Drosophila melanogaster: one gene and its partners. The protein of the gene in region 2 interacts with the protein of the main gene of each other region in a pairwise test. Each region holds a gene or a part of one and is shown on either strand. Other genes may lie near its edges. The genes, in order: CG13144, bowl and Npc1b.

Region 1 (3,755 bases), 6.7 Mb from region 2:
AGCTCAAGTTCTGCTAGGTTCATTCCGCCATTCGATGTTCTTTGGCATTAAAGATTACAGATTACACAGATGTTGACTAGCTGCACGTTAAACGAACCCACTGAAGAGATCCCTGGGATCCAAAAAGAACTATGATAATCTGCAACCTGAATCTTCCGCTAGATGTTAAAGCACTCCGCACTAGCAGCACACTTGTTCGCAAGCAAATCCATGTTGGCCCACACAAAAGTGCTTTATTTATACCGCTAGCATTGTGTACATATATATAAATGTTTGTATTACGTATTACGGAGCAATAAGTTGTCCTGATCGGCGGACAGGCTCGAGCTGTATCCTCAGATTCCACCTGACCGCCGGCGGCCTTTAGATTTAGTTGTGCGAGCAGTTGTTGCAGGAATCCATGGCCTAGATTTGTGAAATATGTGGTTAACTTTGTATATGGGCATGTGCGACAACTGATTTTGATTATGATTGTCCTAATGCTTTGTACAATAGAATCTACACAGAATTTATGTAAAATCTTTCTGATTGAAAATGTTCCTTACGTTAACTACTAAGCAAATCAATTGCAGCCAAAGAAATCATAATGATGATCAGTTGACGAGATACCCCTTATATGTATGTTGAATGGAGCAGCCAGCACACTGGTTACCATAGTCGTGTGCTCCATGCTCCGGCCTCCTGTGTCCAAGTGTATTTTTGTAACCGTTTTTTCCACCGCGCACCGCAAAAAAGAGCGAAGAATTGCCAATAAACGTTATTGTCCACCTAACTCATCCTTTAAACCATTTAATCCACTAGGCCTCCTCATCCAGCCACTCCAGCCGGAACTCGCGCTCAAAGACCAGGCGATCGTACAGCCGCACCTCGCTAATCCTCGCCGAGATGTCCAGCCGCAGTTCGCTGACCGCCAGGTGGAAATTCTGACGCACCGTTCGCTGTTTGTCCGGTGTCAATTGATTGAGAGGTTTGCGAAAGATGCTGATGATGCGCTGCAGATGGTATTCCACGCTGGCACAGCGACCGATGCAAACCCACAAGTTCTCCGGATCGTGAATGTTACCCGGGAAGCGGGTGCGTTGATCGAAGGGCGCCTTGCCGGACAGCAGAGCTCTCACCTCGGCCACGATCTCCTGGTGCGTCCTCAGATCGCGTGTGCTGAGGGTGGTGAACTCATACTTGTCGCAAAAGTACATGAGCTCGGAGATGGCCACCCACGACTGGGAGCAGAGTGTGGCATGGTGATTCGACCAGTTGGTGTAGCCAGCTGGACTGGAGGTCTTGGTAGCCACGGCAGCGGTTGACGAGGAACTTGCATTGGGAGTCGGTGAAGTGCTCGTTGGACTGCCTGTCTTGGGCTTGGGCGTATCCGAACCATTTATGATGGACCTTCTTTCTGTGCGCTGCAGCTGCTCCATTTCCCGCTCGTGCTCCTTGGCCCTTAAATAGGCCTCCTTCTTCTGCTGCAACTCCTGAAGCTTGGTCATCTTTGGTGGCGACAACGACTTTGTGAAGATCGAGGGCGGTGGCGGCGCAGGAGCAGCCTGGTCGCCGTCTGTGTGTGCAATTGGTGTGCCGTTTGTGTCCAGCGATGCACTGCGTCCGTACTTGGCCCTATAGCGCTCCAGCGTGTCCAGCGAGAAGCTGAGCTCCTTCTTGATGGCCTTCTGCATGGTTCTGGTTTTCTGGCTTTATGTAATCACCTTGGGTGCTTCGATGCTCCGAATTGCACGCGTTCCCTTCGAGAATTTACAGGCGAATGCGAGCGCACATTCCGCATAAAGAGAGGCCGATCTCTTTATTTTTATCTTTTATCAATCGGCGGCGAGCCATGTGCACTTTATTTCGGTCTCTGCCAATACATTTTGATCGCATTCGCATACGAATGCGTACGGATTTTACGTTTGGATTTAAAGCAGCATTTGAAAAAGATTCACAGATGCAGAAACTCACAGATATTCAAATGCCGAACGCACATTTTGGGGGAATTCATGACGAAATGACCGAAATTTTGAATGGGTTCAATTCAGATCAAGGTTGGGATAGGGAACTTATGCACATTATGCTTATGTTTGGTAAGTTAACTTCTCTTTAACTTATTGATATAAAAAAATAGTCATTAACCAGCTTTCTCAAGTACAAAGTTTACATCTTTTATTTCATATATTATTTCAATAATATTTGCAAATGGCACACATATGTTTGTGATCTTTCGCTTTAAGTACAAACATTTTACTGATCGTTACAAATGGTTTCTTGTGTGCTGTGAATCATATTTGAAGAAATGCACAAAGTACATTTAATACTTTTCGTTCTTTTCGTCGGCCAGCTCAACCGGCGGAGGTGGTATTCCTCTCACATGGATGTTAAATAAATATCGCCTTAACGCATACGCATAATAGAAAAATGTACAAAATTACAATCATGTCGTCACACACAGAACAGATAAACAGATAGGACTAACTATAGAATGACGTATTAAAAACTACAAAGCGGGTGTTTGGCGGAAGGCACGGTATACACAGAGTCGTCATGTCCTTGGTGGGACACATGGGTCACAAGTAGAAAAGAGGGTGATGAGCCCAGTCTTAAAACTAGGTTCCATAATTTACAATACAGTTGGGCGGAGTTGATTCCGCCTAAACGCAGTACGCCGCCGGCACCTCGAAAATGATGTTGCCCTCTTTAGGACGGAAGTTGGGGACCTCCACATTGGACGCCGCCTCCACGGTAATAATGCGTGCCTTGCCGTCTAGGCGACAGGAAATATTGGTGGTCACATTCACACGCAACTCGGTTCCAGTGAGGCTGGAAAGGATTTGATATTAATATCTGGTGAACATACTAAATGGGCGTTCCACTTACTCATGGTATTTCTTGCACACAATGCCCACCACTTCGCCAATGCGATCTTCCTTGAGGGGCGTGTACTCGCTCTCCAGGGAAAACACTAAATCCTTGTTTTTCGACGAGTGGAAGACGATTAGTTGATCCCGGCCGGGTGAGACACTAATGGACGTCAACTGTAAGCGAAGTCAAGATACGGAATTAATATTATAATATAATAATATAATATATTATTATACTATCTACTAACCTCCCTAATTTTAATGGTGCGTTTCATGTCCTTAAATTTATTCTTGATACCGTCCAGTTTGTGGATGGTCGAATCGGAAACGATGAAGGCGCGATTAGCCTGCTTGTTGAAATGGTTGAACTTCTTGACGAATGAGGAGAAGAGCACTTGCTGGAAGGTCTCGCCGTCGGCGGGGTGGTTCCTTATGTTCTTTATGCTTCCGTTGTAGGCTTCATATCCGCTGTTCTCCTGCGAGTTGGCCAGATAATCACCCACCCAGCGGCGCGCTTGACCCCAATAGGGTCGTCTTCCGGCCAGCGCAGTGGCGGCGATAATCTGCAGACGTAATTGCGGCCACTCGCTGCGAGGATATTTGTGCAGGATCATGTTGGCTCGCCAGAAATCGAACATACGATGCAGTTTAGCCTCCACCTTACGTCCGGCGAGCGGCGGCTGTGGCCACTGGATGCTCTTGCCGTAGTCGCGCATCTGCTTGGCTTTCCGTAAGCGATTGGCCAGCTCCTGGACGTAGCTACGCAGTTTGTAGGCCTTATAGGCGCGCACGATCGTAATTGCCGCCTTCATCTTCTTAAAGTTTCTCCTCACAATCCATCCACGCACTCGCTTTTGCAGCAGCGTCACAATATGTGGGATCATTTCGTTCCTCTGATGCTCCAGG
Region 2 (3,755 bases):
GACTTGTTGAAAAAAAAACACTGGAATAAATAAGAAGCTTATAAACTATCAGCTTATTAAACTAAGTTTGCCTAAATTTCGTAAAATATATTTTTAAAACCTAACGCGATGCTTTGAAATTCTGTAAAATTAAAGTTTTTCAGAAATGTAACGTTATTAACACCGATTAATATTTTTAAATAATATTTTACAAATTGTGTACACCATTTTCAAACGAAGTACCCTTACCAAGAGCACCCATAAGAGACCCCCAGAATTCCAAGCGAAGGTTTTTCGAGTCCGGCTCGAACCGACCAACTCGAACTGAGCGCCACAGCAACAACAATGGGGCAAGCGGGTGGTTCAGGATGGTGGGGAAGTTTGCGGGGGGATGGGGGACGTACTCCACCGTGGACTGTGCGGCACCACACTGAGTTCAGTGGCAATGACAGTGGCACATGCAGTTGTAGTGGAAGCCGCTTGTCGGTCGACAGTCCGCCAACCGCCAACGTTGTTGCGCTCTCTTTCCTGTTTTTTCGCCCCGTCTCATTCTATTTGTGGAGCAGGTTTTGAGATATATCTTGGGTCTTTCTCTCTCTCTCCTTCTCTGTCTGCGTACTCGTTATATTTTTGTACTCGCTGCCTTTTTGGCCAACGCAAAAAATACCAAAATAAAAAAATAATAAACGTAATTAGCTAGCCCTACGCCACAAACAGAAAACAAAAAAAAAAACAACAAAAAATAAAACAAGTAAAAATAAGTGGTGTGGAATTTTTGTGTTCATCTGGGAAGGCAGGGCCTGTTCTCGGCGGAATCTTACCTGTGGGTTAAACAGAAGAAAGCCCCAGGCTCTTTGGGCTTTATCTTTGCGTCCTAAAGTATCCAAGTAGTTGTTTCAATATGATTTTGCTGGTTTTTTGTCAGTTTGTAAGCTTTGAAATGCTTGGCATTGTTTTTGGTTTTTAAAGTAGTAATTTATATCATTTAAGTGGCACTTGAATTGTATGTTGTTTTTTCTTGTTGTATTTGTTTGAAGACTTCTGTTAATACGATTCTGTGAATTTAAAAGTAAATAATTTTATTAAAATTTTCAAAATATTTGTCGGAAATTTTTTGTTATATTTTCAGGTTTGATTTTAATTTTAACAAGTATTTCACCGAATCATTCTCAAGTAAATGTATTTAAAAAAACACGCACACTAAGGGACAATTTTGAGATTCAAATCACGGCACGATCGCCCCAGGGGGTGGGGCTGAGGGGGCGGCAGGGGGGCGGTTACGGGAGCAGCAGCAGCATCAACGGCAGTCAGCTACCACAAACCACGTAGTTTTTTTCCTTCCAAAATCCACGTACAACTCGCGCACAAACACACGATGTATTTGTATCTCACAGATATGAAAACCGAACGAAGAAAAACCCGAACCGAAACCTCAACCTCAACGAACTGAAAACCGAACGAGAACGAGAGATACACGGCAGCTGAAATGTGTTTTTCTACATTTTGTTTGAAATAGGAGCTGAAGCCAGTGCAGCTACCAATTCGCTCCTCAAGTAGTCCCAAACTCTTCCCACACACAGAGTCAGTTGCAGTTGAAAAGCGCTTTTCTCGAGGCAACTGGCGATGCAACAAGTTCACTCACACACACACACACACTAGCGCTCTGGGCCCGCTCAATAAGATACATCGGCGGCGAAAGATACAGATAGATATAGAGCGAGAGGCACTCACAATGCAGTTCACTTTTCCAACAGCTATTACCAGCGATCCGCGCGCAGGTGCGTTGGCCACGATCAACTCTCGAAGACTGAGCCACGAACCCAAGAAACAGGGCCCGAATGGAAAAAGAGAGAATCGAGAGAATCGCGGGCTGAGAAATGCGTAGAAAGAGACAAGCGACGAGTAGCGAGCAGTGGCACTAAAACCAGCTTAGTGCACTGTGGAAAAAGTTTTAACAATTCTTAAATATCTGAAGAGTAAGGCTCTAATTTTCTGTAAATAACAACAGTATAAATCTATCTGCTTAAATATACTAGATAAATAATGGATGCATTTACATATTTTTCTGAATTAACTAGTAACTTATATTCAGTTTGAATATAGTACGACATTTCTTTCAGTGGAGGAGAGGAATTAAACCGAACTCAACCCAAACCCAACCGGCCGCCAGTCGCACGCTGCTAAATGGACGGATGGGCCCGTGGACGGACTTATATGGAGACTGGCACTGGCGGAGCGTGGAACGTGCATTCGTACGACGAGTTATTGTCAGTTAGAGCGCTACCTGTTTACCGACCGACTACCGACTACCACCGACTGCTTTTTTTTTTTTGGCCCAGTCGAGAGGGTAGGGTACAATTGGCCCGGGTGTTGCCAGATTGCCGTTGCTGCTGCTGCCCATGGATCGTTATGGTGGCTTCACCCGAAAAGGAGGAGGAGGGTGTAACTCTGGTAGTTCCCTGTTTATTGTTATGCCTTTTTAGTGGGGGTGTATTTTGTTCTTCGGCTTTTGTTGCGGTTTCATTTAGGGGAATGACTAATCAGAAAGCATTTTTAGGGAGGCAAGGTGATAAGGTTTCTTCGAAGAAGGGGTTGCCAAGTCGAAAGTTGGGGTGAAATAAAGTGCATTACTCACACGACTATATATCTATATTATGACAAGTTCCAATGTTCTACTGATAAGTAAATATTTATTTGGAATAATTAGTTGGTAGCTTTAGGGAAAAATATTTATACATATGTATTTAAATATACACTGATGATTAATCGGCAGCCGAGTTATACAATTCATTTATGGAAATAGGTCGTAAAACAATATAAGTCTAGAAACCATCTTATCGCCAGACTGACTTTTATTAATGGTAATTAGTCCTTATAAAAGAAGGCGAGCACGGGAACTTGGAAAAAAATAAAACATAGGTAAATGATTGATTCGAGCTAGGCTATGTAAATAGGTCTTATATTATTATAATAGACTGTAAAATTTCTATTCTAACAATCTGGCAACCTCTGCTCGCAATGCAGCATCAATGCGGTCAAGTGGTAAAAGAAAAGACGTTAACAAAAAGACCAAAAATCAGCTAGGGTCCCAAAAGTAGAGGGAGTTACGTTTCGGCCACGACGGTGATCATGGTCGTAATGATTCCGAGATGCAGAAAAGAAAAACCCGAAAAGTACCCAACAAAAGAGAGTCCGTAGCCATGTAATTAAGGTGCTGCACAGTGGAACTAAATTGTGGCTGCTGCCACTGCAAAAACAGTAAGTGGAAATGGAGATACAAAGCGGCAACAGGCAGAAGACCAGAAATAAGTGGTAGAAAAGAGAAGACGGAAAAACGGTAGCTGCCTCATAGGGCGAGCGAATTGTTATGCTAGTCGTCGTCGACTTCCCCCATCAACAACTGTTGCTCTTGCTGCACTCGGAAAATAATTTTCAGCATATATAAATAACAATAAGTAAATAAGAAATAAAATAAATAATTACCATAATTGGTCTCCCTTATAATTGGATTCCACAATACATAAAATTGAAATTGACTATTGTTTAATAATAATATCTAATATCTAACCCTTACCTTGCTCTTTTTGCTTAAAATAAAGATGTACAAATAAGATATATATGCTAATGCGAACCATAAGATCGTTGTGATTTTTCTGAGTGCCCGTCGGTTGAAGTGGCTTCCCTCCTTGCATATTTTGCATCGCTTTACGATTTTAAAATAAATTACTTGAAATTTGTGTAAAACATGTGGCCAACTCGGAGTTCAGCTGGTAGTT
Region 3 (3,755 bases), on a different chromosome or scaffold from region 2:
TTTTTTTTTTTTAGAAATATGTTGCTCACCGAAGACAATCCTCCAATTGATTGAGGTAGTTAATGGTATAGTTATTGCTATCGACATAAGAGTTCTCAAAACGATCCATATCGTGCTGGAAATATCCATAAACCGACTGGATTGCGCAGCGATCGACTGTGGGCGTTTCACCAGCCATTAAGACAGGGGCATAGCAGATCTTATCGAGGCCCTCATTATCCGCCATACCCAATTTCATAATAGAGTCCTGCAGCTCGAAGACTTCCTTTAGGAAGTTATACTCGAAGGCTGGACCAAAGTTCAGGACACCATTGGAAGTTTCGTGGGTGAACTGTAAAGAGTATCGAAGATTTTGATAGATTTTTAGGAGGGCTTTTAAACAAGTTACACAAAACTGGACAATTTTAGTGTCTATTATTGTTGCGATTTCAAATGACCTTTTTACTTAAACTGACATTTTAACAGCCTAGTTTATTGCTACTTACATATGTCTGATTGACGGCCTTTACGAACATCTGGTTGGTGCGATAGAACGGGCCGAAGTGCTGATCGAAATAGTCCTTCTCGATCCTCGTCTGACTTTCCTCGCCTGCCCATAGTTCCACAGGATCCGTAGTGATGGTCATGTACCGAATGCCGAAGGACAGTCCGGCGATGGCCCAGGAACAGAGTGCCAGAACTATGACCGGGTGTTTGGCACAAAAGGTGCCCCAGATGCGGAAGCCATGGTAGAAAAACTCGCCGAAGAGGGTGGGCATGCAGACACTAGGAGCCGATGTCTTGCCAAAAGCACCCCAGAAAATAAAGAACGAAAGGGCGCAGGCGATGATTAATGCCAGAATAAAGGTGACTCCATACAATCCTGCGATCTTCCACAGCTCGTCGGGACCCGTAGGAGCATCGGTCAACGGGCAGGACTCCTCGCAATCGATGCAGGCGCACGCGTAGCTGTCCTCGTAACTCTCGCCGCACTTCAGGGGGCTCAGATCGAGGTATATCTCATTGGAACCCTCCTCCGCGTCCTCCGACCATTTGTAGTTGATCTGGAACGGCACGTAGTCGCCGGAAACGTCGCCCATGAACTCGTACCATCTCCGGTAGTTGCAGGTCTTGGCATTGTAGCTGCCACAGCCCAGATCCATGGCAGGACGTCCGGTTTGCGTGTGCTGTATACCAATGCAGCTGTTGTAGATCTTCGATACCGTATCATCTGTAAGTCGATAGTCAATGTATTTCACATAGTCCACTCCTGCATCGTTTGTGTCATTGTAGGCGGTCAAGAAGAGAGTGTGGTTCTTGGCACAGGTCATGGCGCATACGGTCAAGGCCATGTTTCTTGTGCAGGTGGGACATCTGGAGAAGACACCATCTGCTTGTGATAATCCAGATTCCATGGTCTCGATTTGGGCCGCATCGCAGCACAGACTGAGCTCATCCTCCCCACTTTCACCTTTGTACTCCTTGTACAACATTGGACATCGCTTGGCGAATATGGCTTCTGAAGTTGGGCTATTCAGAGGTCTCGCTGGATTCGTGTCGCCCTTATTCACCCAATGGGCACCTATCATGTGACTCTGACCATACCAAATGCATCCCAACTGCTCTGCGCTTTGCGACCAAGCTCCGGCTATAAGCCATATAGTTGCAAAAATCACTTTCATTCCGACACTAAAAAAAAAAAAATATAAACAAATAAGCCTATAGAACTCTACTCTTCGTAGAGAGTGAAAACAATTCGCGCCGGCAGCACGCCACTAACTGAATCAAACCCAGCCCAATCCACTGACCATTAACACATTAAAAGGTGGGCAGGCTATATCGGAAATCGGGTTGAGTACCCATCGATTAGATTTCCCCCGTTTCCAGTTTCTTTCGCTATTTTTTTCCCCCGTCCTTATCGCCAGGTGATAAGCTTCTGAATTCATTTGGATTTTGTGTTGGAGCAGGCTTAATGGGTATGCAGAGGGACCTTATCTTCACGCGGATTAATATGTTCACATAGCGACAGGTGATCGAAAAACGATTAGATATTAGAGGTCAATTCCGAATCTAAGTCCCTTGCAGCTAACTTCTTTGGATGGCAGAGTAACCAGACAGTAGCTCTCTTCGAAGGTCTTTCATGCAGACACAAAGCTTTATAATAATACTTAATAATGAAATGATTTTACACTTAGATTTGTAATTGGCTTCCCCCAATATTCGCTGTTGATAAGAAACTTAGTATCTGTAGCTCGTGGAATCTTTTTGATTCTGTTTTTCAGCGCTATTGCCGTTACCTTTATTTTACTCAAACATTTACTATATTTGCTCTTGGCAAAGGTGCACAATAATCCTTAATTCAAACTTTTTCACGTTAACACTTCGCTGGAACTGCACCTGTGCAGACACCTGAGCTTGTATCTTGGGCTTATCGTATGGTGAATTGGCCCCAGAGCAGCTGGCTCAGCTCGACGGCACAATAAAATCGCGATCGGCTCTTGGCTGGAACACCTGTTCCCTTCTTTGTTGATAAGTTAAAAGACCTCTCGAGACCCTCGACTGCCGTAAAGTTTATACTGCTCGGCAACTTCGGCGCGAAGGTCTTAATCTGCGCCGGATGAGTGATTCACTGAGAAATACCAACCACCTGAAGTAGCCAAAAAATTGTTGGCCAAGCGAGTGGCATACGTTTGGTTTCCGGGAATCGAATGCTTCGTTCCTGGAACTAAATTAGATTTGAATAATCTCCAATCGCATTTGTAATTGTAATTAAACATACTATTTTATATTTGAGTCTTGGCAAGTTCTCCACAACGTAAATTTATATATTCAATTTCAATAGATGTTGATTTAATTGTGATCATTTAGGAAGAGGAACCCAGAAAATGATTCGTGGCATATATGTACATAAGTGTAGAGCTTAAAATTAAAAGCCTTCGTTGGAAAGTATTTACAGATGTTAGTAAATTTTTGGGAAAATTCTTTAAAACAATTGCCTATGTGTTTATTCGATATTTATTCGAAGCAGAAAATTGTAATCGTATCTCGTTCGTTTTATCAATCAGATGGCAAGCAATTTTTTTGCTTGATCTATGTGAAAGTCTGGTAAAATTTCATGTTTAGGTACAGTTTTTAAATTAGTCTAAATGAAATGGCCAAAAAGTTCTGCTACTCGGAGAAAAAGACCCTAGCGCGTATTAAAAAAAAACAGAATCACCGTGGAGTTCCGGATTCCCAATTTGAGAATGGTCAGGATGCTGAGGAGGAGGATGGTGATGGCGGTAAGGCAATGGGTCCAGAAATGGCACCGCAGAGTATGTTCTATATCTTATAAGTCTATAGTTCAAGTCAACTTTGTTTCAATAACTTAGAGTTGGGCATTCTGAAAAACCTTGCCAACGGTTATTTGAAGTTGGTCCACGAAATCGAGACCCACCTCTGCCTTCCCGCGCCTCGTATGGTCGAAGCTAAACCAGAGCGTGAGGTGGGTGGGAAAACCGATCAAAATACCGAAATCGAAGAGGAAATATCGCAATCTTCAGAGGATACCACTCATCCAGGAATAGGCTTTGTGAATTTGTATAGGCGCAATACTCATTTTGAGTGCTTGGGAATTCCTCTAACTTCCTTGGAGCTGTTCTCTATGGAACGCCAAAGAAATGCTGACACTGAAGAGCCGGCTTCATTGAAATCTCTTGATGAGCGGTTGAGTAAAGAGACCGAATGGGTTCCTGAAAGAAATATATCGAATGAAGCTGATTACGATCCACTCGAAA

The links.
Region 1: the proteins of bowl (region 2) and CG13144 interact in a two-hybrid assay, tested with the Drosophila melanogaster proteins (one large-scale study listed by BioGRID).
Region 3: the proteins of bowl (region 2) and Npc1b interact in a two-hybrid assay, tested with the Drosophila melanogaster proteins (one large-scale study listed by BioGRID).

What each region holds. Positions count from the first base shown.
Region 1 is NT_033779.5:10,489,692-10,493,446, forward strand, and holds CG13144 (uncharacterized protein), read right to left. Parts: upstream 1,764-3,755; 5' UTR 1,674-1,763; coding exon 798-1,673; 3' UTR 209-797; downstream 1-208. Other genes in the region: CG6144 (uncharacterized protein), read left to right, coding at 1-17; Myo31DF (myosin 31DF), read right to left, coding at 2,640-2,808, 2,866-3,023, 3,098-3,755.
Region 2 is NT_033779.5:3,769,740-3,773,494, reverse strand, and holds the start of bowl (brother of odd with entrails limited), read right to left. Parts: upstream 1,796-3,755; 5' UTR 1,622-1,795; intron 1,576-1,621; exon of another isoform or gene 1,480-1,575; intron 1,470-1,479; exon of another isoform or gene 1,179-1,469; intron 1,035-1,178; 5' UTR 801-1,034; intron 1-800. UniProt on the Drosophila melanogaster protein: Putative transcription factor. Required for leg joint formation, acting downstream of Notch to pattern the leg tarsal segments. Functions in the terminal pathway during embryogenesis, acting downstream of tll in the posterior of the embryo.
Region 3 is NC_004354.4:20,932,859-20,936,613, reverse strand, and holds the start of Npc1b (Niemann-Pick type C-1b), read right to left. Parts: upstream 1,746-3,755; 5' UTR 1,662-1,745; coding exon 486-1,661; intron 332-485; coding exon 30-331; intron 1-29. Other genes in the region: CG11227 (uncharacterized protein), read left to right, coding at 3,131-3,293, 3,351-3,755. UniProt on the Drosophila melanogaster protein: Important for cholesterol absorption at the midgut epithelium. Acts only in the early steps of sterol absorption, prior to Npc1a-dependent intracellular sterol trafficking.